3 linked regions of the Astyanax mexicanus genome follow. The protein of the gene in region 1 interacts with the protein of each later gene in a biochemical or structural test. Links are inferred from orthologs where the notes say so. Each region holds a gene or a part of one and is shown in the gene's direction. Other genes may lie near its edges. The genes, in order: glrx5, bola1 and bola3.

Region 1 (8,859 bases):
TTTTCATGTTTGGCGGTGAATGTGTTAACAACTGGTTTATTTTAACAGTTTTACACCTGAACCAACTCACCACATCAACAAACTCAAGTGGGAGCTATGAAAAAAATATTTTCACCTTAATTGTCATACTGCTTTGAAATAAATAAAAAAAAGAAATACAAAATAAAAGTTATAGCAGTGCATGGGCAATAAGATTAGACTACATCAGATCAAACTACTAGGCTGGGCCTACTGAAGCTGAGAACATATACTGCACAATATTAACTGTAATATGAAACCAGATGAATCTTATTTTTAATGATCTGTATTCATGAGTGCAAACAAATTTCGTGTCATCACATCTCTCTCTCTCTCTCTCTCTCTCTCTCTCTCTCTCTCTCTCTCTCTGCAGTCTACTTGCTGCTGTGGTGAAGCAAGATTGCCGTGTCTGTGCTGCATGCGGGACATTTACTGCCCTCTAGCGACCGGAGAGAGCATTTAATTTGTATTCATTTAAAAAAAAAATCACAACTTTTGATAGAAATGAGCTAGAAACTCGCTTCTTTTTTTGACATACTCAGAAATTTATGCCGGGCCGGATTAAATCATCCAACGGGCCTGGTCCGGCCCGCGGGCCGTATGTTTGACATGCCTGCTATAGATCATACAGATCAAACACTTTCATTGCTAATAATAAGAGCACCTTGGGGCTAATAATATAAAAGCCCAGAATCTGCTGACCTGCAGAAAATTAAAGTAGTACACCATTTCTTCCCTAATAGTAGCAAAGGGTAGTGTCCCTTCTGACTTGCTGTAGCTTAACCACTCACCATATACTGGTTAAATAGTGGTCACAAGTTCTAATGATGACTTGTGACTGTGATTACTTTAACTGTTCAGACTGTACATACACACTGGTTTTGAAATACAGTAATTATTAAAACATTTATGTACTGTCCATACCATACTGAATACACTGGACAAAATTATTCTGCATTCTTGCAGAGGGTAATTATCTTTACACATATTTTAACTCTCCATGTCATATGTAATCATGCTCATGGATTGCACAATTCACCTTGCACTTTGTTCATTTTCCTTCATTTGTTCATTTCCTGATAATTCATAATACAGTTAATTGACCCCTGTTCAAATAACATGTGCAACTGTAAGTGACATACCTTCCACAGCAATCGTTTTAAAACTGGGGACCAAAAATATAAGTTATATATCATCCAATATGTCAATAAAAAAAGATACTTTAAAGAAAATGCATTTTTCCCCAAAAAGTAAAAAAAAAAATACATTGACACATCCTGTGACTCAGCTCAGAGCCAGGAGTGTTTCAGCCCAAGATCACACAATGAAGTACAATACAGTACAGCCAAGCAAAACAGAGCTCTGCTCTTCTGCATTCGTTAGTCATAGGTAGCAACAGGAGTAATAGCAAACATCTGCTGTTTAAGGATAAGCAACACTTTTTAAGTTTTGTGGCTATGAAGACCTCTCTGCTGAGAAAGTGTAAATGCACACAACATGTGAAGTACTTTTATTTAAATAAACTGTGTTTTGTTCATTTATTAAATACTGTTTAAATGTTCAAAGCAAATGACATCCAACAAACCTCCCAGACCATGCTGCCTTTAGAAGATGCAGGAATGAATTAGCATACATTCCTTAACACAGAAAAACTACTGCTTTCAAATTAACAGTAAAAAGTAAAAATGCCTCAAACAAGAGTCGCCAACTTTACTCTGACATGTAATAGTGGGGGCAGCACACACAGCACAAATCAAGCAGTAGCTTGGGGTAATTAGTGAATATGGCCCGTTTGGAAAGGGCATATTAAACTAGTGCAGAAAAGCTTTTTCCATCTCGTTCCATTATGCTTTAGATCAGGTCACCTCTTCACAGCACAGTCAGAAGTTCTCTCTAAAAACAGACAGAAAAGATTAGGACACACATTGAACATTACCGTTAATGGCTCAAGCAGTTCAACAGTAAAGTGTGGCAATTTAAAGTGTCTGAGAGGTCAGCTCGCCCAAACAGACAATATCCCAGTGCTTATTTTCTCTGCCTGTTTTGAGATTGGTAACAGTACTGCCAGACTGTCACCGCCGTGGAAACAGGACTGAGGGTTAAAGGTGTTGAAAGAATATCGCACGAAATACCTCTCAAGTTTAAGAGGTCCCGCCTTCGGTTCTTCCATTAATCTGGGCAGTGCTAATGGGTCGTTCACCATCTACAGGAGATGACCACTGATTCCAGCACTGCCTTGTCAAAGCCAATAACAATAATATATCCAGCACAAATCACTATACAAACCGTCTTATACATACATACATACCACAATGAATACTGACACGCAATTACTCTAAGGTCCCATTTTCATATGTCCAATATGAATTGTGAATAAATTACTCATGCAAACAAATCTTGCTTATAATATACTCAATTCATAGATGGCCTCATGCTCTAATCAACAACATTTTTTACAGCACTTTAGAAATGTTTTAATGATAAGTATCAGAACAGTCACTGAACTGTAAAATCACACAGGGTTCACAAAACCTTTGCTGAGCTGCAGTTATTTCTTACAGCCACCAGATGTCGCTCTTCTCTGTGGCTCCAATGCCTAAACTCCAAAGCTTCAGAGAGGCTGCATCTGCCCATCACTAATAACTAGGGTTGTCAACATTAATGCATGCAGATCATCTGGAAACTAACATTTTTCCCCCGAAAATTAATCAACTGACATTTTTTTAGTTAGCAATATAAAAAAAAGTTTATTTAGCAATATAACACATAACACATCAGAAGGTAGCTTAACTTTTAGTTATTCTCTTATTCACACAAACACAGCTCATGACACATTGCCTTTTTCAAGGTGGAGCTCCACTATTGATTATTTTCTCTATTAAAACTTAGTATCTCAGCACATTACAACATTCTAGTTTAAAAAGTATTAAAACTAGTCAGCCAGGTTTAGAACCACACTAAAAAGAAAATTAATCAATTAACGATTTAGTCACGAAATACAGATGCACTTAATATCATTATTATTTAGGGGATTGGCTCCAATAATATAAATCTAATTCCATATAACAATTATATTGTGATTAATATGATTTGTTTTTTCGATTGACACCACTACAGACAATAACTCACGTTGTTTTGTACCTGGCTATTAATTAACAACATTTTTGTAGTTACATTTGAAACACTGCTAACTAGTAGGAACTAGGGATGCAAATGATTAATCGACTTTAGATTAATTGTCGATCAAGAGGTTGCTCGAACAAAATGTATTACTCGCGATTAATCGCTAGAGGGCGCTACTGTAGTAACTTGAACAGAGCGTGAGAACGAGAGGTGAACACGACTCGCGAGAGACCAGGGTTGAAAACAAAATGAAGCGGGCGAAAATAAGTGCGGTGTGGGACCATTTCAACAGTGTTAATTTAGGCAAAGAAGTCAAATGTTCTCTGTGTAATGCGGTATTGAAATACAACAGTTCCACTAGCTCACTCAGTTATCATTTGAACACCGTCACAGTTTCACTGAGAGCGCGAGCGTGTGATGAGAGAAGGGCGGAGGACATTACAGAGAGGATATGCAGCATGATCAAGAGAGATTTGATGCCAATCTAGACAGTTGACGGTACAGGGTTTCAGGATCTCTTTGCATTGAGGATTGTTGAGGATTTCCTAATTAATAGCCTGGATGCAGTTTCTTCATAATCTATAGGCTCAATAATAATCTGTTTGGCTCTCTATTTAATTTCTTCTATTCTTTTTTTTTTTTTTTTAATATGTCTAATGGTACAAAAACGCAAAAACTGAGCCAGTCCTTAATTTATTTCTCTTTTTAAATTAAAGAATGTATTTTCTTATACCATAAAAAGTCTGCTTTCTTTTCCTAATGCATAATTACTTGAATATATAATATAATATAATACAATATAATTATCATAATATAATATATACTTTTTGAGCTCAGTGTTTTAACTATTTAGCTGGTATTTTTAAAGGCCCTATTGAAACACTAAAATTCAGGTAAAAACGCCGCTTATCAATTAATCGAAAGTCGATCGATAAGATCAATCAACTAATGATTAACGAATTAATCGATAATTTGCATCCCTAGTAGGAACCTAGTTAGGTTAGCTAACGATAGTAAGGTTAGTTAAATAACCTACATGCCTGTTTTACAGTATAATGTATGTTTTGATTATATTAGGCTAAAACACACATATAAGCCTGATAAATAGTTAAAGAAACAACTTACCTTAAACCAGCAGGGCAGCCCTACAGCTGACATGAGTGCTAAACCTGTAAAGCTTAAAAACCTTTAAAGCTTAAAAACCTGTAAAGCTTCAAAAAACTGTACAGCTTAAAAACCTGTAAAGCTTAAAAACCTGTAAAGCTTATAAAAACCTGTAAAGCTTATAAAAACCTGTAAAGCTTATAAAAACCTGTAAAGCTTATAAAAAAAAAAACCTGTAAAGCTTATAAAAAAAATAAAAAAAAACCCTGTAAGCGCTAAACGAAAACACTGAACCAACACAGGAGACACGGCGCCTGAATTTAAGCAGCACTGCCCGGAAATACCGTCGGTGCACGTTTACAAAATAAGAGTCTCTCTTAAGTATTTTTCATTCTGGTCATTTACCGCCTACACTGCAAAGTCATTTACACGTAAGCTATATTTAGCACGGATACGAGTGATAAACATGTAAAAGTTTGGCTTCATAACATAGCAGCTTGTGTAACACCTAGTACCGTAGTTCCGGTAGCATTTGATCTGGGTCAGTCTCAAACACATATGTGCTCCCTATATAGTTAGGACACTATGTAAGAACAGTTAGAACAAATCCCAGAGCCCGTCCTTGATGTATTCTAAGAGCAGAAGTGATTTCAGCGCGCATCATATCACATGTATTACACTTGAGGGACGCCGAAGCCACACGGAAGATAATCGCATGGCGCACTTTGTAGGGAATATAGTAGCGTTTCAGACGCGCCCTCCCTGGATAGCGGCGGATTTGCTTTCCTGCGTACAAGAGCTGCGCACGATTGCGTTGAGAGACGTGCGCTTTAGCCAATCATAGAAAAGCACCAACACGCGTGCACCAATGAGCTTCTCGATGTGCTGCTTACCCGCTGGCGGGGCGGGGCTACAGAGACTTGTCTTGAAAAGTCTGGCTTGTCGTGGCGTCTCGGAGGAAGCGGTGAAGTCCAGCGAGTTTTTGGTCGTTTGTTTGTTTTGTTGGTGTTTTTTTCACCGTTTTCAGAATGAACAGTGTGTTCGGAGCGGCCGCTCGGTCTGTGCGGGCGCTGTCAGCGCTCCCCAGGTTAACTCAGCCCGGCGGCGGCGCTGCGTGCTCGCGGCTCCTGTGCTCGGCTGAGGGTCAGAAGAGCCTGGAGGAGATGGTGAAGAAGGATAAGGTGGTGGTGTTCATGAAGGGAACCCCGGCGCAGCCCATGTGCGGGTTCAGTAACGCCGTGGTGCAGATCCTCAGGATGCATGGCGTGGACAACTACGCCGCCTACAACGTGCTGGATGACCAGGACCTTAGGCAAGGTCAGTGCAGATACGACCTCCTCCAGCAGGCCGGCTCACAGCGGGCCTGTCTCACCGCCTGGAGCAGCTACAGGTGGAATAACGAACCTAATTGAGAGAGAGAGAACTGGGTCATTCTCACCTGTGTTCATTAATATAACAGTAATATAGCTAATTCAGTACACAAATAGTAGATCCAGATAGATGAGAAGTTGAATTCAGTATTATAAAATTAGTTTTTACATATTTATTTGGATCATACATTAAACGATATATTTAAATGGGTAATAATAATAATAATAATTCTGTTCTTAGTTCATTATTAATCATTGTATGATTTCATATTCAAATCATTTTATTTTACTTTTACTAATATCCTTTTTTATTTTATATTTTATACACTCTTTACTTTTTATGTGTAAAAAAAAATCTTTTTTTTGGATTAGTTTGAGATTAGCAATGTTTTTAAATGTGTTATTTATTATCATTTTTTACGTTAGTTCTAATTTCTTATCTAGATGTTTTCAGTTCCTTTTAAAGTGTAAATGCTTTACTGCATTGTAAATGTAATGTAATCCCTAGGGAAAATAATGATTGATTGATTGATTGATTGATTGATTGAAAAGATTAAAGTTTGCCATAAAGTAACCTAAGTATATATTAAAGAAAAAACATCAGAATGACTGTGTATGTTTTCAGGCCTTTGTAAAATTACTTTAAATCTTAATTAAATTAATTTATGTAGTGTAGTGTCAGGCTTTAAAAATTTAATTTGGATAATTCCAAGTACTGTTTTAATGCGATTTTCAAAATGATTTAATAGAGGTTGTACATGTTTACATATAGACCCTGTCACAGGGCATCACTCAAGCTTTAAATAGTAGATTGACTTTCGTTACTGTCAGAAACCTGTAGAGAACTCTTCTGTGGCAGATATTTTTATATTTTCCACTTTTCTTTAGGTGACATATGAGAAGGTTATTTTTGCATTTTGTTAAGTATAATGTTAAAGGGAGCTGCTTGCTATTCCTAAAAAAAGCTTTAGACAGCGTATATTCTTATTTTTGCTTCATATAAGTGTTGTGCTTGCACAGTTTTGAAATCCTGGAAAATAGCACAAATAAAAAAAACTGAACAAAGCTTATTTTTTTGTAAGAACTACAACTAGAAAACTAGTAGACAACAAATCAGGAATTACTATATTTTTTCATAACATTGCCAGCACAACAGTTGTTGCCACAAAGCAGCTTTAAACAGATCTGTGTCAAAGGCTTCTTGGAGTAAGCCAAAAGCAACACTGGCAGGGAAGATCTCTGTCTGACTGAGAGGAAGAAGCCTTGGGAGGAACCAAGACTCAGCAGGGGGAAAACAGTCCTCCTTTGGTCGATAACAGATAGACCGGATAGCACTTCCTGTGTTATGATAATTTGTGTTCCTGTAAAAAAAAAATATATTAACGCATTACTTTAAATCAGTGTTTATCTCACCCTAAATGTAATCAGTCAGCTGAGACATGCTGGTATTTTAAGCTTGTAGCCCCCCAAATAACACTGAGGCCACAAGTATAATGTAGCTTATAAAATGTGGAAGCTTACAATAAGCATATTGCTGTGAGGCTAATATAGCTAACATCAATTAAAACCTGTTTCTCATAGTATAGCCTATTTTGAGTAAAAAAAAGTTTCAGTTATACAAGCCTAGTGCCAAAAACGAAGAAAATTTGTCAGAGAAGATTGTAATGCTAATTAAGAGAGTCCTGTAGTCTGTCTTATTCATGTTCAAGGAGCTAGTGGTCTAACACATTAGCAAAAAGGCTTTCATAATTCAAGTTACCTTAAACTTTCATAAGTCTGTAACCCACACATAGTTACAGAAACTAGTTTTCCAACCCTAATCCAAGATGGTGACCCATTAACACACTAATATCACTTTAGTTCCTGATGATATTATATTGTTAACCTCTTGGTTAGTTTAATTGTCAGGTTTCTGTATTTCCCAGGATTACCACCACTGGTAAGCATGCCAGACTGTGCTAGATATAGAAGAATAGCTTGTTACACAAATCAGGCATATGTGTGCTAGAACTTGATAAAAAAAAATTGGTGGATGTTTGACCATAAGGCAAGAAGCTTTGCTTTTCAGAATAATGAAAACGCTTAAGTATTGCTGAATTCTTGATATTGGGTTCTGTTGTAGTATAGTTGGTCACATGTGATCCATGTAATGCCCATTGTGTCCTTAATGCGAGTCACACTGCTAGTTCACCAGCCCAGTCACTACTCATTGTGTCCTTCCATTCTCAGACAATTTGGGAACTAAGTGATTGGCTTTCCTGAAAAAAAAAATATTTTTAGGTTTTTAAGTTTTGTTTTCCGCACAGTTCAACTAAAGTACCTTTTAATTCTAAGAATAAGCCCAATCAACTAGATCTTCTCAGATCTAAGTAATACAGCCACATAAGACCAGATATGCTTATAGTTGAAATGCTTAGCATTGGGTGGATACATTTGTGTTACATGCCCATAACCTGGAAACATATCAGATTTGGGACCATATATGAAATGACTCTAATGCAGTTTGAGATCAGATTAAATGTGTCCACACAGCCCTGAAAAATCTTATCAGCATCACATTAAGGCCAAAAAATCTCAAATGTAGCTTAAGTGGTGTTCTTGCTTGTTTTTACAGTAAGATTATGGCTGCGTGACAAAAAAATAAATGTAGGCAGGTGTGAAAATATGTTCTTTACTTATGAACTTAAGAAAGTAGCAGTCCATGATGGATCAACTAATTATTTTTTTTAATTTTTTTTATACTGTCTGCTCTCCTCATTTTTACCTTATCTGTAGCTCATGAAGCTCATGTAAATGTACCTGAACAGGGTTAGTTTTGTTTTCCAGTTTATCTATCTGAAGCTTGGAAATGTGATCCAGGAGAAGACAAAGGCAGCGAGACTGTGGTCACTTCTTTCTGAAAAGCCCCTCAGTCCCTGCCCTGAGCTTCCATCTGCTTTCAGGATCAGTCAGGAGTGCAGTTTGAATGTGAGCGTCAGCTGCTGCTGATGGCTGAGCTTCTCCGGTGAAGGCAAACGTTAAGTGTGAGCTTTGTGCCCTCAGATTGCCTTTATCTGTCATGTGCAGCAGTGACTGGGCGTCGACTTCACAGCCCAGAGAACTAGATACTACCCCCAAAAAACTGAAGTGTGTATGTGCGCGCGTGCATGAAACCATTCTGGACAATAATGTGTCTATAGTAGATATGTTTACGGTATGTTTTCAGATACAGATCTGCCACATGGAGTCTGTCCTATGTTCCCGC
Region 2 (8,518 bases), about 28 Mb from region 1:
TTTGTTAAATGGCTGGATGTTGTCTGTGAACAGATGCCATGTTGAACATATATTTGAATATTTGAATCACTGGCCTCCTAATTTGTAAAACGACTCATACATACTACTCTATGTATTACCAGTAGAGCAATGTCTTAAAGCAATAAAAATATCTAAAACCAATCTCATAATAATAAAAAAAAAACATCCTTTACATGGCGCAACTATCTAAGTGCTCCCCAGTGATGCCACAGCCATCCATAAGTTCCAGACAGCACAAATGGCTTTGATCTCACATGGATGGGTAATATGACCCTCAGCCAGCGTTGGCAAATTAAAGATTTTCTGAAATCTATCTGTGTATCTTTTTGACAAGACTTTAGATAATCTCTCTTACCAAAATATTATTATTTGCAGTGTAGAAAAATGACGATTTGTTACCAAAGTAGTTCTGTGATGGATTCTAAGCACACAATCAGCCACAGCCTAAACTCAGCGTCCCACAGTCAGGCCAGTCAGGCTTCTCTGTGCTCCAGCAAAAACAACTTAAGCAAATCAGACTTTAATTAAGGGATCCCAGTACAAATCACTCAAGAACCTGCCTTTTACTTTTTCACTATAAGGTCAGAAACAAACCATCAGTGACAATCTGAGCAGGAGCAAAAAACTAGAGAGCTGCCACTCATATAGGACCCAAACCAGAGTTGCACAATGATCTACTCAGTTACAAACGAAACAGAGCAACAAACTCACGTTTTATACCCTACAGAGTCTCCTAAATAGAGCTTTGCAAAAAAAAGGTTGGCACTAGGATGGCAGAGGATGGCACTATTAAAGTGTTTAGTGCTGTCACTGTCATTTATAATTTAATAACCTTGCAGTTATCTTGATTTAATCATGTTTTTTGCCCTAAACAATGTACAAAACATATTATTAATACACTTTGCACTGCATTTAAAAATTGCAGTTCATATATATTCTTTTATATATTGTTAATATTGATAACTGACTTTACCTTAAGTTTAATCTTAATGGAAATTAAATTATGTTGGATAAATTAACCATTTATTAAAACATGTGGTTGTAGTATAAAATTTAACTACAAAAATTACAATTAGTCCAGTACAGAAGAAATTGTCAGTTGTTACAGAAACAGGTTTATACACAAGCCTGATACCTTGTATATAAGTTGAATAACACATGGCCCAACATGTTTAAAAAGTATTTTAAGGAATTTAATAGTTAAGTGGAGTTATGAATATAACTTAATTTTGGGAGACTGATCCACGCCCTTGCTCCTCTTATTCCCCACCCTATATAAACCCTCAATTCCTCTCTCCCTGCGTGTCCAACAACTTCACACCCACCTCCTCCCCATCTTCCTCCTTCTTCCCTTTACTCTTGCCATTTCCTGTATCTCTTCTCGTGGGCGGGGCTTCAGCTTTACAGCCCTGCAAAGCTGCCCCAAACTCCTGCCCAAAACCTCTGAGCCCCTTTTTTATTTTCCATCTAAGGGCGTGGGAAATACTAGCAAATTAAATGTTTAATATGGCATAATGTTTAATGCATTTATAAAATGAACAAAATTAAGTTCTAATCTGAGTAATTGTGACAGCACTACTCATGTGCATTTGAAAGCGTAAGCTTATAAAAAGCTTATATTTGCAAAGTTCCATTTAGGCACTTTGTGTAGCACCGTTTATTTATTATTTTTTATTTATCAGGGAATCAGATCCAGTTCAACATTATTTTAAGGTTACATATGAAAAAGCACATCCCGCATCATTTCTCAAGTTTGCCATTCCTCAGCAGGCTATCACTGCCAAGTCAGTCAGGCGGAGTCTCTGCCGATACCTGTTTCCATCCGCGGTTGTACAGCATGTAAATCTTAGGCGTCACGTCTCCTCCGTGTTGTCTTTGGTCCGTTCATTGAACTACAGACAAGGATGTCAATATCGCTGTCGTACGCTGTGAACACGCTGATCTACAGTAAACGATCTCAGTGAAGCTGTGGATTATTTGTACGTAAATAAAATAGCAGTCCTGAAATTTGTGAACTTCACCTGTTTGGATTGTTACTGGGTGTTTTAATGATTGTTCAGATTTCTCGTTTTTGTTTCTTGTTTTTTGTTTCGTATTTCGATGATTAGCAGTCAATCGTGTGCGCAAAAAGAAATCAAAGCAATAAAAGTGACTGACAGGTTTCTTTGCTCCGCCCCCTCCAGCCCCCGCACCCTCCCTCCCCCCATTCTATTGGGAAAAGTAAAAGCACACTGAAAAACGAACAGGCCACATGCAATGAGATGTGTAGTGATTTAAAGAAAACAATATATATAGAGAGAAATATAAATATATAAATATACATATATATACATATATAAATAAATTAATATCTGAAAGGCCAATGTCAGTGATTCTACAAATATCCCATAGGTCTTTTGATGCTTTTGTCGATTACAATGTATCGCCATGATTTCAATGTGACAGAGTTTATCACCTTATCATTGTACTGTGCTGTAGAGATTGTAGTTGTTTGTATGTAAAAGTATAAATATGTGGAACAATAAAAAAGTGAAAAAGACAAAAACCGTTGAACACAAGAACTAGAGTACTATTGTATGTTGTTCATTTTTGTGATCCGTTTCTTTTTTGTACATGAGAATGACAATGGCGTAACGACGTTGACATTATCATTGAACATGAAGACTATTTCAATGTTACACCAAAATGGTTCTGTATTAAAGGTTCGTGAGAGACTTCTCATTTTCCGAGTCATGCTGGGACCTGCGCTGCACCTGTGCAGTGAACCAACCCTGTTCTTCAGCGAAATGATGAAAACCTACATATGGATAATAAACAAATGTCATGAAGATCAAACCACTGGCTTTGTAGTTATTGACACAATGGAAAAGTTTCCAATTGGCTTAATTACTGGCAGCTGATTTAAGTCTAAGGTGGCTGAGTTCAATAAGTCTAGCCCATCCTATTCTTCACCCAAAATAACTATTTAAATGTACAACCCCAAATCAGAAAATATATAGCTAGATGCTGTGCAGGGCATATACCACATGATAAAACAGGATGGCACTCAATGGCCCCCCAGTAGACGGTGCTCATGATTAGGGTGGGGGCTCCAGCTCTTCTTAGCTTATAAATCTCTCTTAGATAAAATAATGCACATTATAATAGCATTATAGTGGCATTAATACAATACATGAAAAATTGTGGAAATAAATAAATACATGAATAAATGTGGAAATAAATAAAAAAGGTAGAAATGTTGAAATAAATAAATGAAAAAAATATATATATTGAAATACATAAATAAATATATGCAGAAATATATATTCCAACGAATGGGCGCCAGTTTCTTGTTGTAACTCTTCCAAATTAAACGTATTATTTTAAAAATCTTTTTTCAAATCTGAATCTAATAACATATTTAACTATTCAAAACATGTTCTGGTCAAACTCAGGCAGCTTTACTTAAAATTTTACAAGGTTTCTAAGCCAAAGATGGCTACAAAACTCATGTCACACATAAAAAGCATGTTTAAAAGCAAGTCCACAAATTCCTTTAATTTTCTCTCAAGAAAGTCTTTATTTTAAATAAATGATTGACGGCATGCTAAAATAATTTATATTTATGACAAAAAAAAAAAAAAAACACTCGTTCCGGTCACTGGAACTCCTGTTACTTTTTATGTTTTGAGTAACAGTAATGGGTTTTTAGCATAGAATTAACAAAAACATGAAAAATAGCTAAATGGCAGCTATGCTTACAGCATGAGGACACTGAGCTCATTCTAGTGATTTTCCCATAATTTGTGTTTTAAAAATAAACAAATAAGATTTAAGAATTAATTTAGGTAACAGGAGAGAGTGTTGAGATTGAGCTCTGCAGTCATAGTTACAATAAAAATAAACATACAGAAAAACTAATGATGGAACTTAAGTTTGATCTTCCCATGATCTTCAGAAGAACCATCTGTTGTCACTTCCTGTTGTAGATGAGACTTGTAGAATGATCTAGATGATTCAGAGGGGGTAATGTGTTTTACGATAACAGGACTGAGTGAAAACCAGAGACACAACTAAAATGTGTATTTTAACTTAAAAATCATGGATTTATTATGAAAAAAATATTTTTAGAGCATAGATGAGATTTGGAGTCACAGAACAATGCAAAAAAAACTACATCTCTGAAGGATTTCAATAATTATATTTCATGGTAAAGTTTATAGGTAGAGAGTGGGGACAGGTAGCAAATGCTATTTTTTAAGTGTTCTAAGTCTTTTTTTTTATTAATGTTTTAATACCATATCTTACTTTTGCAATTGGGTTAATGTACAAGACACTATGCTTAAAAATAAAATGTATTTTAAAGTTATTTTGTATGCACATTTATATATGTAATTTCCTGGGGACAGAAATGCCACCGATTCTGTGGAATGCCCATAACAAAAATAATGTATTATTTTTTTTGTTTATCTATAAAATTATTCTTGGGTGTATTTATGTATATAAATATGTATTTATTTATTTATATGTACATTTATTTATTTGTACTTCAAAGTTCTCCGCCTGACCAGCAGGGGCGCTGCAGTGTGTTTAGATCAGTTTCCTCTACAGAGAAGAAGAGCTGAGAGAACAGAGGACGCTGAATAAAAGTGAGGTGAGAAAAAACTCAATAAAACATGATAATTACAATTTTAAACGTTTTCCTGAGATACTGGGGAGTGGGGTTTAACTAATACCTCAATGTGAACCCAGTACTGTGGGGGGAATTTGTTACAGGGAGCCTGACTGACTTAAGCTATTAAATAACAGCAGAATCCTACCTGAGTCTGTGTGTTAACTGTTTAATCTGTGATACTATGGAGAGGAATTGGTGCCAATTTAAAAAGTAAACACTACAGTGTAAAATGTAAATACAATCCACAAGCTGCACTGCTTTTCTGCACCAACATGCAGAACATGCAACAAAATTAAACGTAAATCCGCTGTTACATTACATCTCACTGCACTTGATATTTTTATAGAAAAACAATGCGTAAAAATTTACATTTTCAAAATCAAACGCTGAATTTGTGTCAGAATTGCACACAAACTCTACTCCATTGTATTCCACTATGTTGCACTGCTGCGAATGTTCAAACGCAAATTCACAATGCACAATAGGTTTGGGCGATATGGGCCTAAAATAATATCACGATATTTCATGGTATTTTCACCCTATCGATACTCATGGCGATATGACAGAACACTGATTTAAAATAATTATTTCAAGAATACACTACTGCAAGAAAATGAAAATAAATTCTATTATTGCATACAATATGATACGACACACCCCTAACTGAGATATTAAAAAAGTACAAGAATTGGTCAGTGATCCACAATGTCATGATACTAACAGTGTTGGGAAGGTTACTTTTAAAATGTAATCCCTTACAGATTACTGATTACATCCCTCAAAATGTAATTTGTAACGTAATCAGTTACATTACTTCAAGTGAGTAACGTAATCTGATTACTTTGGATTACTTTAAATATTGTCGTTTTTTTAAGCCTGAATGAATGTAGCAACCACATATTGCATATTGTTTTTTTAATTTTTATTTCCAGTTAACAAATAGATAAATAAATAAAACAGCCTTTTCAATCACCCTATAAACATACTTATAAAACCATTTCATCAAACAATTTTATGAAACACTTCTATAAATTGATGATAAAACCATTAAAAACTATTAAAAACCAAACAATGTACCAACAACTGTAAGCTATCTATTTGCAGGTTTGCCACTTTCTGCAGGTGGTTTCTTTGCCAGGATTATCACATAACCATTTCCTTGACTGCTTTATAACCAGAAATATATGAAGATGTGTGTGCGGAGCCGCTGTCTGCCTCTCTTCCCGTCTCGCTGCCTTGGCTCACACAGACACCGCTGCACACACACATAGGGAGGAGTGTTCCCTGTCATATCAGAGCGATTTCACAGCAAAAACAATATTTATTTGTTTGTAATTATTCAAAATGTCCGCCGAGTCGATTTCCATGCCAGGGCATGGCAGGCTCTCGTCGTCAGGCTCCATTGCGCAGACTAGCACAACCAGGAGGTTGTGAATCATAGAATACTCTGAAGTCGTGATTTATGTGAATGTGATTGCGTTTTGTCAGTGTTGGATTGGAAGACCAAAAATAGGAAAGTACCGCAATGTAATCCATTTATTTTAGCAGAGTAACGGTAATCTGATTACCACTTACTGAAGCAGTAACTGTAACGGATTACAGTTACTCATAATTGGTAATCTGATTACGTAACGCCATTACATGTAATCCCTTACTTCCCAACACTAGATACTAATAATGCTAATAATGATACTGGACAGATATAATTTGTCTCTAGTAGATATATAATAGGAAATGAGAACAGTGTTAATTTTTCTTTTGCTAAAAACAGCAAAAAAAGTAGTACCCTGATGAGATAATTAGGGGTGGGTGATATGGCACGATATTTCAGGGTATAATATCGTTCACGATCTTTAAAAATGTTGGCGATATTATTGCGTATGATACAATATGGCACACCTCTAATTCACAGGATTGCATTACGTCTAGGAGCAGCATGGTATTCGTTCCAAAATGAAATGTAATAACTGTCCAATCAGAACCCACTACTAAAATTGGGGCAGGGCTGACCCAATCAGAAGCGAGCACTCAGCTGTACTTTAAACCAGAGAAAATGTCTTTCGCAACAGGATTCAAGAGGAAATACACGCTCTAATTCTATAAATTAAGGCTGGCACAGTTACAGATGACTGCATGCGACCACTCTTTCACAATTCCAGCCCCATTAATCCTCGCATTGTCATCTTGTAATATGTCCGTGCCATGAGGGAAGAAATATAAAATGCATTGATGGAATAACCTGGTCTATATTCAGTATATTCAGGTAGTCAGCTGACCTCATTCTTTCAGCACATACTGTTGCTGAACCTAAAGCTGCAGACCAACTGCAGCATCAACCCCACATCATTTACTTACTTAAATCCAGGTGATGATTTTTTTCTGCATGTATTTGTCTTAAAGTCTAGTTTTAGAATAAAACAGAAATATTGTTAGAATAATTTTATAATAATCGGTGTTATGATTATGAAATAACTGATATAGTCCTAAAGTAGAGCAGAAAGAAAGTGGACTGCAGGACTTTTTGCTGTTTTAATAAGAGCAGATAAACCTCTATTTGCTGCCCTGTCTGTACCATTAAAATACTCAAAGTTTAAAGTTTTCAGTGCCTTGTTTTAAAGGTCAGGCCTCAGAATTCTACCAATGAAGTGTGGCGCTATTTTGAGCTTGTAGTTAATGGTGTAACAAAAAAAGATGGGTTATTCTATGCCCCTATTTCTAGTATTTAAAGCCTGTTGGGAGCATCAGTTAAAAGTGCTGTATTTTGAAATTCCGGGGGTGAATGAAGGTAGACTAACTCAAGTCTGTTTAACACCGGATTTCTCCTTTAATACTCTTGATTTCCCATTACTTTTGTCCCATGTAGTGTATTTTAAGGTAGATGTGCTTTTTAAATAAATTTTTGGTATATTTAAATAGAACTGCTGTATTTATTTATGATCTCCACAGGCCTGGTCACTCCTGACCTGCTGATGTTGTCCAGCGTTCGCTCCGCCTCTCTCACCTTCGCCTTATCGAGACAGTTATCTCGTTTTGGGCCGAGCATGGAGCCCGGTGGCACTCGGCCCGTGGAGTCGGCCATTCGGACCAAGCTGACTCAGGCTCTCCAGCCGAAGCACCTGGAGGTGCTGAACGAGAGCCACATGCACGCCGTCCCCCCGGGCTCAGAGTCCCACTTCAGGGTTCTGGTGGTCAGCCCGTGCTTTGATGGCCTTTCTCTGCTGCAGCGCCACCGCCTGGTGAACGAGGCCCTGAAGGAGGAGCTGAGCTCCTGCGTCCACGCTCTCGCCATCCAGGCCAAGACTCCTCAGCAGTGGAGCAGCGACCCCAAACTGGCAAAGAGCCCACCCTGCCTCGGAGGCTCCAAACACGACAACACCATGGCAGAGAAGCTGAAGGCTGGACAGAGCTGACCCCAGGGACGTTTCCTCCACAGAGTGGAGAGTTTAACTCCTCAGTTTCCTGAAAGACCTGAACGTGGGCTCACACTTCAGATCTTCACTCTTATTATAGTCAAAGCTAGGATCTCCAAAATGTGAACTATACTGGAATTCATTGGATTTTCTTTACATTGTAAAAGCATTTAGATCAGTTCATTCATCCTAAAATCTTCACACAAAATATAGAACAACTGCTAGACCCAAAGTAAAAATGTATATATGAGTTTTTTGCATCTCAATCTTTAATTTTCTGCAGAATAATACACAATGTACAAGGGTCAATAAAGAATAACACAACATCATATAATATATAATAACAAATTCATGTTTTGACTGGACTTTATTGATATAAACTGAGTACTGCACTGAGGTCATATTGACTCTTATTACATTTCTGATGCACTTA
Region 3 (8,238 bases), on another chromosome or scaffold:
TGTAAAATTGCTTAATTAAATACAAGTAACAAAGTAACCAAGTAACAAAAATATGAACACCACACAAGGGTTAAAACTGCAGTATGAAACATTCAGAATATGTATAGCAATAAAGAATATAAAGTGATATATAAAGTGTGATATTGCTACTAAAATTAGAAAAAAGTAAATTTTTATATTAACATAAGACACATTCACTGACTCTTCTTCTTTTTTGCTATCGAAAAATGTAATAATGTAATTAATGTAACAATGATGTGAATCGTTTGATCAGATCACGAAGCTGGATGTGGAGACAAAGCAGCAGCTGGAGTGGACTGCAGAGAACTGCTATCCCTCTGAACCTGTGTTCATTACCAGGCCGGGAGCAACTGAGGAGGATGATGGTGAGCTTATTACAATTCTAAAAGTTTGCTTTTCACGTTAGGTTTCCGGGCAGATTCACCTCAGCTGAGTGATATATCTCACATATTGACATATTCAACTTTTTTTTATAAAATATATAACAACATTGACCTTACAGTAATACAACATATTGGCATTAGCAAATATAAACATACTTTGGCATCGGCCAAGAATTTACATTGGTGCATCCCTTAGTTTAAATGTAAAAATTGGTGTCAGACAGTGGTTCATTTTATTATTAGTTTATTATCAGTTTATTATTAACTTTTCTTTTAGTCAGATTTGAAAAATAATTCACTTTAAACAATCGTAAAATAGCCTTGTTTATCACAAAATATTTAAATATGTTTTGATTACTAACCCCTGTTTTGTGCAAAGGTGTAAAAAATACTAAGATGGTTTTAAAACTACTTCAATTATAAAAGTAAAAGTAATGTAAGGAGAAAAATGTTATTGTTGAAAAATGTTAATGTTGATCAGTTTGGGATGCACTACGTTGTTCCCTGTTTCAGCTGCATATATGAATGTATTTTAGTAGAATATAAATATATTAAAGTTTAAGCCACAGGCTTTTGCCCAGTCACAGGCTTCTGCCCATTCACAGGCTTCTGCCCAGTCACAGGCTTTTGTCCAGTCACAGGCTTCTGCTTATTCACACAGGCTTCTGCTGCCCAGTCACAGGCTTCTGCCCAGTCACAGGCTTTTGCCCAGTCACAGGCTTCTGCCCATTCACAGGCTTCTGCCCAGTCACAGGCTTTTGTCCAGCCACAGGCTTCTGCTTATTCACAGGCTTCTGCTCAGTCACAGGCTTCTGCCCATTCACAGGTTTCTGCCCTGGGTTGGAGTTTGTTTGTAGTTCTCTTGAGTCTCTGCAGGATCATCTTCATACTAGGCTACATACGTCTGTTATGTTTGTGCTGGAATGTGTTTGTGTGTGTGTGGGGGGGGGGGCAGTATAAACCAATAGGGTGTGAGAATGATATATGTTTTTACTTCGTATCCAACCACAACCTGGATTTATCTTCTCTCCATATTCAGGTGTAATTCTAACATCAGTTATAAACAGCAACCCGGGTCAGTCTGACTTTCTCCTGGTGCTTGATGGGAAGTCCTTTAAAGAACTGGCGAGAGTACACGTGGAGGCAGAGCTGCACTTAGACATGCACGGATTCTTCATCTCACAGAGCGACTAAACCTCAGACCTGAAGGAGGAGCTGCTGTCTGTGGAAGACTTGACCGCTTAAATGGGACGAGACCAAAAACTCTGATATACTGTTTACAGTTTACAGCAACCCTAAAACCCCTGTGGCCACATCTGCAGGAGACTGACCAGTTAACACTTATGTTGCTGTTTCATTGTATTTTCATATTTAGCCTTTTTTTTACGCTCTTTAGACAAAATTATTGGGACCTTTGTTTATTATCTTATTTCTTCTAAAATCTAAAAAAAAGACTGGTTTGAGATGTGATTAATGCAAGGTGACACAAAATCAAGTGCAAGAAAATAATGCATGTGATTGATATTTTATCCAGCAAAACTAACTATCTGATATTTTATATTTTACCTCTAAATTAATTCATAATTCATAATTAATTCATGTCATTTTATGTACTGTACAAAATGTGTAAATTAGAAATGTTGAGGTGTGTGTGTGTGTGTGTTTGTGTGTGTGTTTGTGTGTGTATGGTGTCCCAAAAAGAGAAATATAAGATTTCTCTTTTTTTTTAAGTAATCTATGTGTTTAAATCAAAATGCAAATTTGTATTTGTAAGAAAATAATACATACATTTTGATTTTGTGCTTGTGTGTCCATTCCCCACCATTATACTAACTTTAAAATAAACAGTTTTATAGTAACATACTGTGAAGAATAAACAGTTACACACTCCGTCCTTACCCTGGTGTTCTATCAGACCAGGAAAAGAGAGAAAAATAAACCTATTCACTCAAATCTTTAATACCTACCTCACAACATGCAGGGACAGAATAACAGTCAAATAATACCCTGAAGCCATGCGTTATCAAGACAACATCAATCTTACAATCTTGGTGTATTGGGTTTAGAGCAGGGGCTTTTGGAGGACAAACGCTTTTTTTACTGTTTACTACGTAATTCCATATGTGTTCCTTAATTGTTTTCATGTCTTTAATAATATTCTATAATGTAGAAAATCAATTGAATATAGAAATAAAGAAAATATTGATTGAGAAGGTGTGTCCAAACTTCAGACTGGTACTGTATGTACAGTGAGTCCAAGAAGTATTTGATCCCTTGCTGATTTTCTTTGTTTGCCCACTAATAAAGACACTATCCTTCTGCACTTTTAATGGTAGATATATTCTAACATGGAGAGACAGAATATCAAGACAAAAATCCAGAATATAATTTTAAAGAATATATTTTAATTAATTTGTATTTCAATGAGGAAAATAAGTATTTGATCCCTCTTGCCAAACACACTCAGTACTTAGTGGCAAAGCCTTTGTTTGCAAGCACAGCGGTGAGACGTTTGTTGTAGTTAACCACAAGTTTAGCACACACACCAGGGGGAATTTTGGCCCACTCTTCTTTGCAGATCCTCTCTAAATCATGAAGGTTGGTGGGCTGTCGCTTGGCAACTCTGACCTTCAGCTCCCTCCATAGATTTTCGATCGGATTGAGGTCTGGCGACTGGCTGGGCCACTCCATGACCTTAATGTGATTTTTCTTGAGCCAATCCTTTGTTGCCTTTGCTGTATGTTTAGGGTCGTTATCATGTTGGAAGACCCAACCACGGCCCATTTTCAGATCCCTGGCAGAGGGGAGGAGGTTGTCCCTCAGGATTGTGCGGTACATGGCTCCATCCATCTTCCCAGTGATGCGGTGAAGTAGCCCTGTACCCTTGGCAGAGAAACACCCCCAAAACATTATGCTTCCACCTCCATGCTTGACGGTGGGCACAGTGTTCTTGGGGTCATAGGCAGCATTTTTCTTCCTCCACACATGGCGGGTGGAGTTGAGGCCAAAAAGTTCAATTTTGGTCTCGTCTGACCACAAAACCTTCTCCCAATAACTTGGTTCATCTTTCAAATGATCATTGGCATACTTGAGGCGCGCCTCCACATGTGCTCTCTTCAGCAGGGGTACCTTTCGGGCACTGCAGGATGTGAATTCATTGTTGCGCAAAGTGTTGCCATTTGTTTCCTTGCAAACTGTGGTCCCAGCTGCCTTCAGGTCATTTGCTAACTCGTGCCGAGTGGTTGCAGGACGATTTCTGACCGTTCTCAGCATCATTGCCACCCCACGAGGCGAAATCTTCTTTGGAGCACCGGGCCGAGGTCTGTTGATTGTCATGTTATACTCTTTAAACTTTCTGATAATTGCACCAATAGTTGTTACTTTCACATCCAACACCTTACTAATCTTTTTGTAGCCCATTCCAGCTTTGTGAAGGTCAACAATTCTGACTCTGAGGTCCTGTGACAGCTCTTTGGTTTTACCCATGTTGGAGACTTGAAATCTGTGTGATCTGTCTGATTCTGTGGACAGGTGTTTTTCACACAAGTGATTAGTGAGAACAGGTGGCTTCAGGTCAGGTAACAAGTTGATTGGGAGTGTCTAACTGGTCTGTAAAAGCCAGAACTGCTAATGAATACTAAGGGATCAAATACTTATTTCACTCCATGAAATACAAATCAATTAATATATATTCCTTAGATTTATTTTCTGGATTTTCTTTTTAATATTCTGTCTCTCCATGTAAGAATACATCTACCATTAAAAGTATAGAATGATCATGTCTTTATTAGTGGGCCAACGAAGAAAATCAACAAGGGATCAAATACTTCTTGGACTCACTGTATATAGATGCTTATGTATATTTATATTTGTTACTACTCACTGCACCACCAGTGTAAATAACACCTTATACATATATCTGTATGTCTAATCTATCTGTAGAAAAAAATGACTTAAAACTCATTTTTAACATTCACAGTTGTCTAGTTTTTCATTGCTGCCCCTCACAATTTGAATTTCCGGACAATTTATTTAAATAATAATCTTTATTAAATTTTTTGATAACAAAAGTAGGTTTTCGATTAGATCTTTGTTACAAGATGAAAAAAAAGCTGAAAATCTGGAAGAAACTATAAAATATTTTATTCCAGGTTATTTGGGTCCGTTCATATCAAAATTAGGAGTCAATATAAAAAATAATTTATGTAAAAATGTGAAAGAAAAACAGTTGATCGTAAATCCGGCAGGGGGCGCCAAAACACAGCTGAGGAAGAAAAGGGGGGGGGGGGAGTGCTGGATTGCGTAGTATTTGTGCGACTCCGAGCGCGAGGACATGACTTCTTCCAGCGGGCTGTAAAGAAACCGGTTCAGTGATTAATCCGGATTATTCACGCCATGCCGCTCCGCAGCCTGATCACAAAAAGAGTAACTAATACTGCTCAGCTTCTGTCTGTCTAACTGTCTATCTATCTGTCTATCTCTCTAACCCTATGTGTTTATCTGTCTGGTGTTCAGTTTACATTTCCATATCTATCTGTCTGTCTGTCTAACCCTATGTGTCTATCTGTCTTGTCTGTAGTTGTATTTGCATATCCATATCTGACTGTCTAACTGCCCAACTGTCTAACTGTCTCTCTAACTAACCCTGTGTCTATTTACACATTCATATCTGCTAGTCTGTCTAACTATCTATCTAATCATTTGTCTGTCTGTCTGTCTGTCTATCTATCTGTAGTTTATTTTACATATCCATATCTGTCTGTCTAACTGCCCAATTGTCTGTCTAACTGTCTCTCTAACTATCCCTGTGTCTATTTACACATCCATATCTATCTATCTATCTATCTATCTATCTATCTATCTATCTATCTGTAGTTTATTTTACATATCCATATCTGTCTGTCTGTCTCTCTATCTAACCCTATGTCTCTGTCTTTCTGTAGTTCATTTTACAGACAGACACCTAGGGTTAGATAGAGAGACAGTTAGACAGACAGATATGGATATGCGATATGAGATTTTACATTTTGTCTATCTGTCTTTCTCTGTGTCTACCTTTCTGTCTGCCTGTTTATTTATATGTCTATATTTCTGTCTGTTTATTTATGTGTTTATTTGTCTAGTGTCTGTACTTGTTCTGTTTTTCTTTTCTTTCATCAAAAGAAGTTTGCTGTAAAAGTAGTGTAATGTGTGTAGACCAGGGGTGGGTAGATAAATTGATAATCTGGGATTATTTGTTTAAAGGGCCTGATCTCAATTTGTCTTAAAGTTAATTTTTATCTTCTGAAAATGCAGTAATTATCTGGTTTTGATAAACCAGATGTTACCTTACAGTACTGTGGCTATTCTTTTTTCAGTTTTATTACAATCCTTCATCTTGTTTGCTGTTTTTTGTACTCTTGATTAGTAAGATAAATTTAGTCTGTTTTGTTCTTGAAAAAGTGCAGGGAATGTCTGGTGTAGATCCTGCTGGAAAGAAAAACATCATGGCCAGCTCAAATTGGTTAAGATGGATAAACTAGTTGAGCAGCATAGGGCATTTTTGTGGTTTGATGGTTTAACCAACTATGGTAAATAGTAAAACCAACTACCAGCTTTAAGGGAATTACCTTAATCTTGAACTAGACAGCATTCTGAATGGAGATTTTTTATTGAAAGAAAAATATAGTTTAGGATTATGCTTAACTGATGTGTTATAATTAATCCACCGCTCCCCCTGTACTGCTCCTGCAGAGTCTGCTGGTACCGTTTAGACATGTCTTCAGGAGCTTCACCAGTAAAACAGATGGCGAGGACCGGATCACAAAAATACTGAAGGAGAAGTTTCCGCTCGCTTCCTCACTAAAAGTTGTGGACATTTCAGGTGAGCTATTTTACTTAGGCACTGTATCCAGGTTTTCCCCTGTTAAATATTTCCCTGCTTACTGTGGTGGTACTCCTCCGTCTTCAGCTGTTTGTCTGTTTGTCCTCTATCAGCTGTATCTGTTTGTTTCAGGGGGCTGTGGTGCAATGTATGAAATACATATTGAATCAGATGAATTCAGAGGGAAAAGAACAGTGCAGCAACACCAGTTAGTAAATCAGGTATGTCAGAAGAGAGATGTGTACCACATTTTATCATATTTCTTTTGTACTGTGCTTATAAAATTAGTTTGGGGTCATGATTCAGTAAGAGATATATCTCTAGTGACTTGTGATCAGATTATTCTACTGCTGCCCTAGGTGCATTCTGGTAGTGTTGTATTCAACACCAAGATGTTTAGTAGTTTAGATTCAGACAAGACAGAGACCAGATTAAGATATTTTTTCATCAGGTTTGTTTTCACACACAATTTTTTCAGAAAAGATTAGTTTTTTGCTGCTTTTTATTATTTTTATTGGAAAGAAATAGTCAGATAGCTCACCATGCATCCATTCTGGTATAAGAAGATGTTTCTCCATATAGGTCAGTGCAAAAGACAAGCCTTTATGGCCATGATGTCAGTACCCGCACACACGCCACAAACCTTATTACAGTACCCCCACACCAGTCCTATCACAGTTTGGCTTTAGGGAGATATGGTAACACATTACAATAAGGGTCACCAATAACAACACTTACGACAAAAATAGATATTTTAAATGGTTAATAAATGTCTAAATTAATTATTAATTGACATTAGTCAATTAATGCTCATTAAGCAATGAAATAAAAAATACTATATATTGCTAAATTTTACTGCTTAAAAGGTTTAAATAACACTGTAAATTATTTTATCACATAAATGTAACGATTAATAATGTCTTAACTAGTGTCATTTAATAATTAGCTGAGACATTTTGTCGTAAGTATTGTTAGTTAATGTACCTTTATTGTAAAGTGTTACTGGATATACGGACAGAAAGAGATATAACGCAATAAGTCGATGCATCATCATTATTTTACAAAATATACCAATCACACAAGCCCACAAGCACACATCTCAGACCACCAATTTCAGAGGATACTCTGAACCTGAATGCAGCTTTCACACGATTAAAGGTTAAAGTCTACTCTATTGATCCTGAAGGAAATGTAGGCATCCGGTAGCAGCAACAGAATAATAGAAATAATATAGATAGACTATAAATATATACAAAGGGTATACAAAAAAACATGCAGTAGATGGAGCTAGCAGCCAATAAATGATTTACAAAGCAAGAGTTCTAAAATAAAGTGAACAATAGGTGTGCTTTTACACAGTATCTATATGTACATGTACGTATGTTCACACCAAAGCTGCACAATATTGGAAACCAATTACATTACAATAGTATTTTATTCTGCAATATATATTGTGATGTGAAAATACCTGTATTTTTAATAGGAAGTTACCACAAGTCAGTAGTCCAACATGACATTATATTTAATAATGCACTCAGTTTATTAAATGTTTCTGTAAAATAAATAATAATGTCAAAAAACAAATTGAGAACAGGTAGACCTTTAATGCCAAGCAGCAAAAAAGTTTGATATAAGCGATATAAGTATATTTGCCTTCCTTGACATTGCATATTCTGTAATGTAAATATTGTGCCTGCCTACATTGCAGTACCAATGCTGACACTATAAATTGTATATTATAAATTATTACAAATTATTATTATAACTTATTATTATTTATTATTATTGTTATTTGTTATTATTATTATATATTATTATTATAACTTGTACATTATAAATTGCACTAGTGCATACCCATCCATATTTGTGGTTGAGTAAATTATGTTAATATTTTTATTTTGTTTAACAGGCACTCAAGGAAGAGATTCAAGGAATGCACGGACTGCGAATATTCACAGAGGTCCCAAGAAA

What was found.
Region 2: the proteins of glrx5 (region 1) and bola1 form a complex in vitro, tested with the Homo sapiens proteins (2 studies listed by BioGRID). The link is inferred for Astyanax mexicanus from reciprocal best matches to the Homo sapiens genes GLRX5 and BOLA1.
Region 3: the proteins of glrx5 (region 1) and bola3 form a complex in vitro, tested with the Homo sapiens proteins (4 studies listed by BioGRID and IntAct, with this or other methods). The link is inferred for Astyanax mexicanus from reciprocal best matches to the Homo sapiens genes GLRX5 and BOLA3.

What each region holds. Positions count from the first base shown.
Region 1 is NC_064408.1:87,802,479-87,811,337, reverse strand, and holds the start of glrx5 (glutaredoxin-related protein 5, mitochondrial), read left to right. Parts: upstream 1-5,143; 5' UTR 5,144-5,273; coding exon 5,274-5,562; intron 5,563-8,859.
Region 2 is NC_064408.1:115,498,127-115,506,644, forward strand, and holds the start of bola1 (bolA-like protein 1), read left to right. Parts: upstream 1-4,575; 5' UTR 4,576-4,654; intron 4,655-7,621; 5' UTR 7,622-7,644; coding exon 7,645-8,085; 3' UTR 8,086-8,518. UniProt on the Homo sapiens protein: Acts as a mitochondrial iron-sulfur (Fe-S) cluster assembly factor that facilitates (Fe-S) cluster insertion into a subset of mitochondrial proteins. Probably acts together with the monothiol glutaredoxin GLRX5. May protect cells against oxidative stress.
Region 3 is NC_064423.1:34,726,564-34,734,801, forward strand, and holds the start of bola3 (bolA-like protein 3), read left to right. Parts: upstream 1-4,712; 5' UTR 4,713-4,799; coding exon 4,800-4,829; intron 4,830-6,137; coding exon 6,138-6,267; intron 6,268-6,399; coding exon 6,400-6,488; intron 6,489-8,176; coding exon 8,177-8,238. Other genes in the region: bco1 (beta,beta-carotene 15,15'-dioxygenase), read left to right, coding at 275-386, 1,444-1,598. UniProt on the Homo sapiens protein: Acts as a mitochondrial iron-sulfur (Fe-S) cluster assembly factor that facilitates (Fe-S) cluster insertion into a subset of mitochondrial proteins. Probably acts together with NFU1.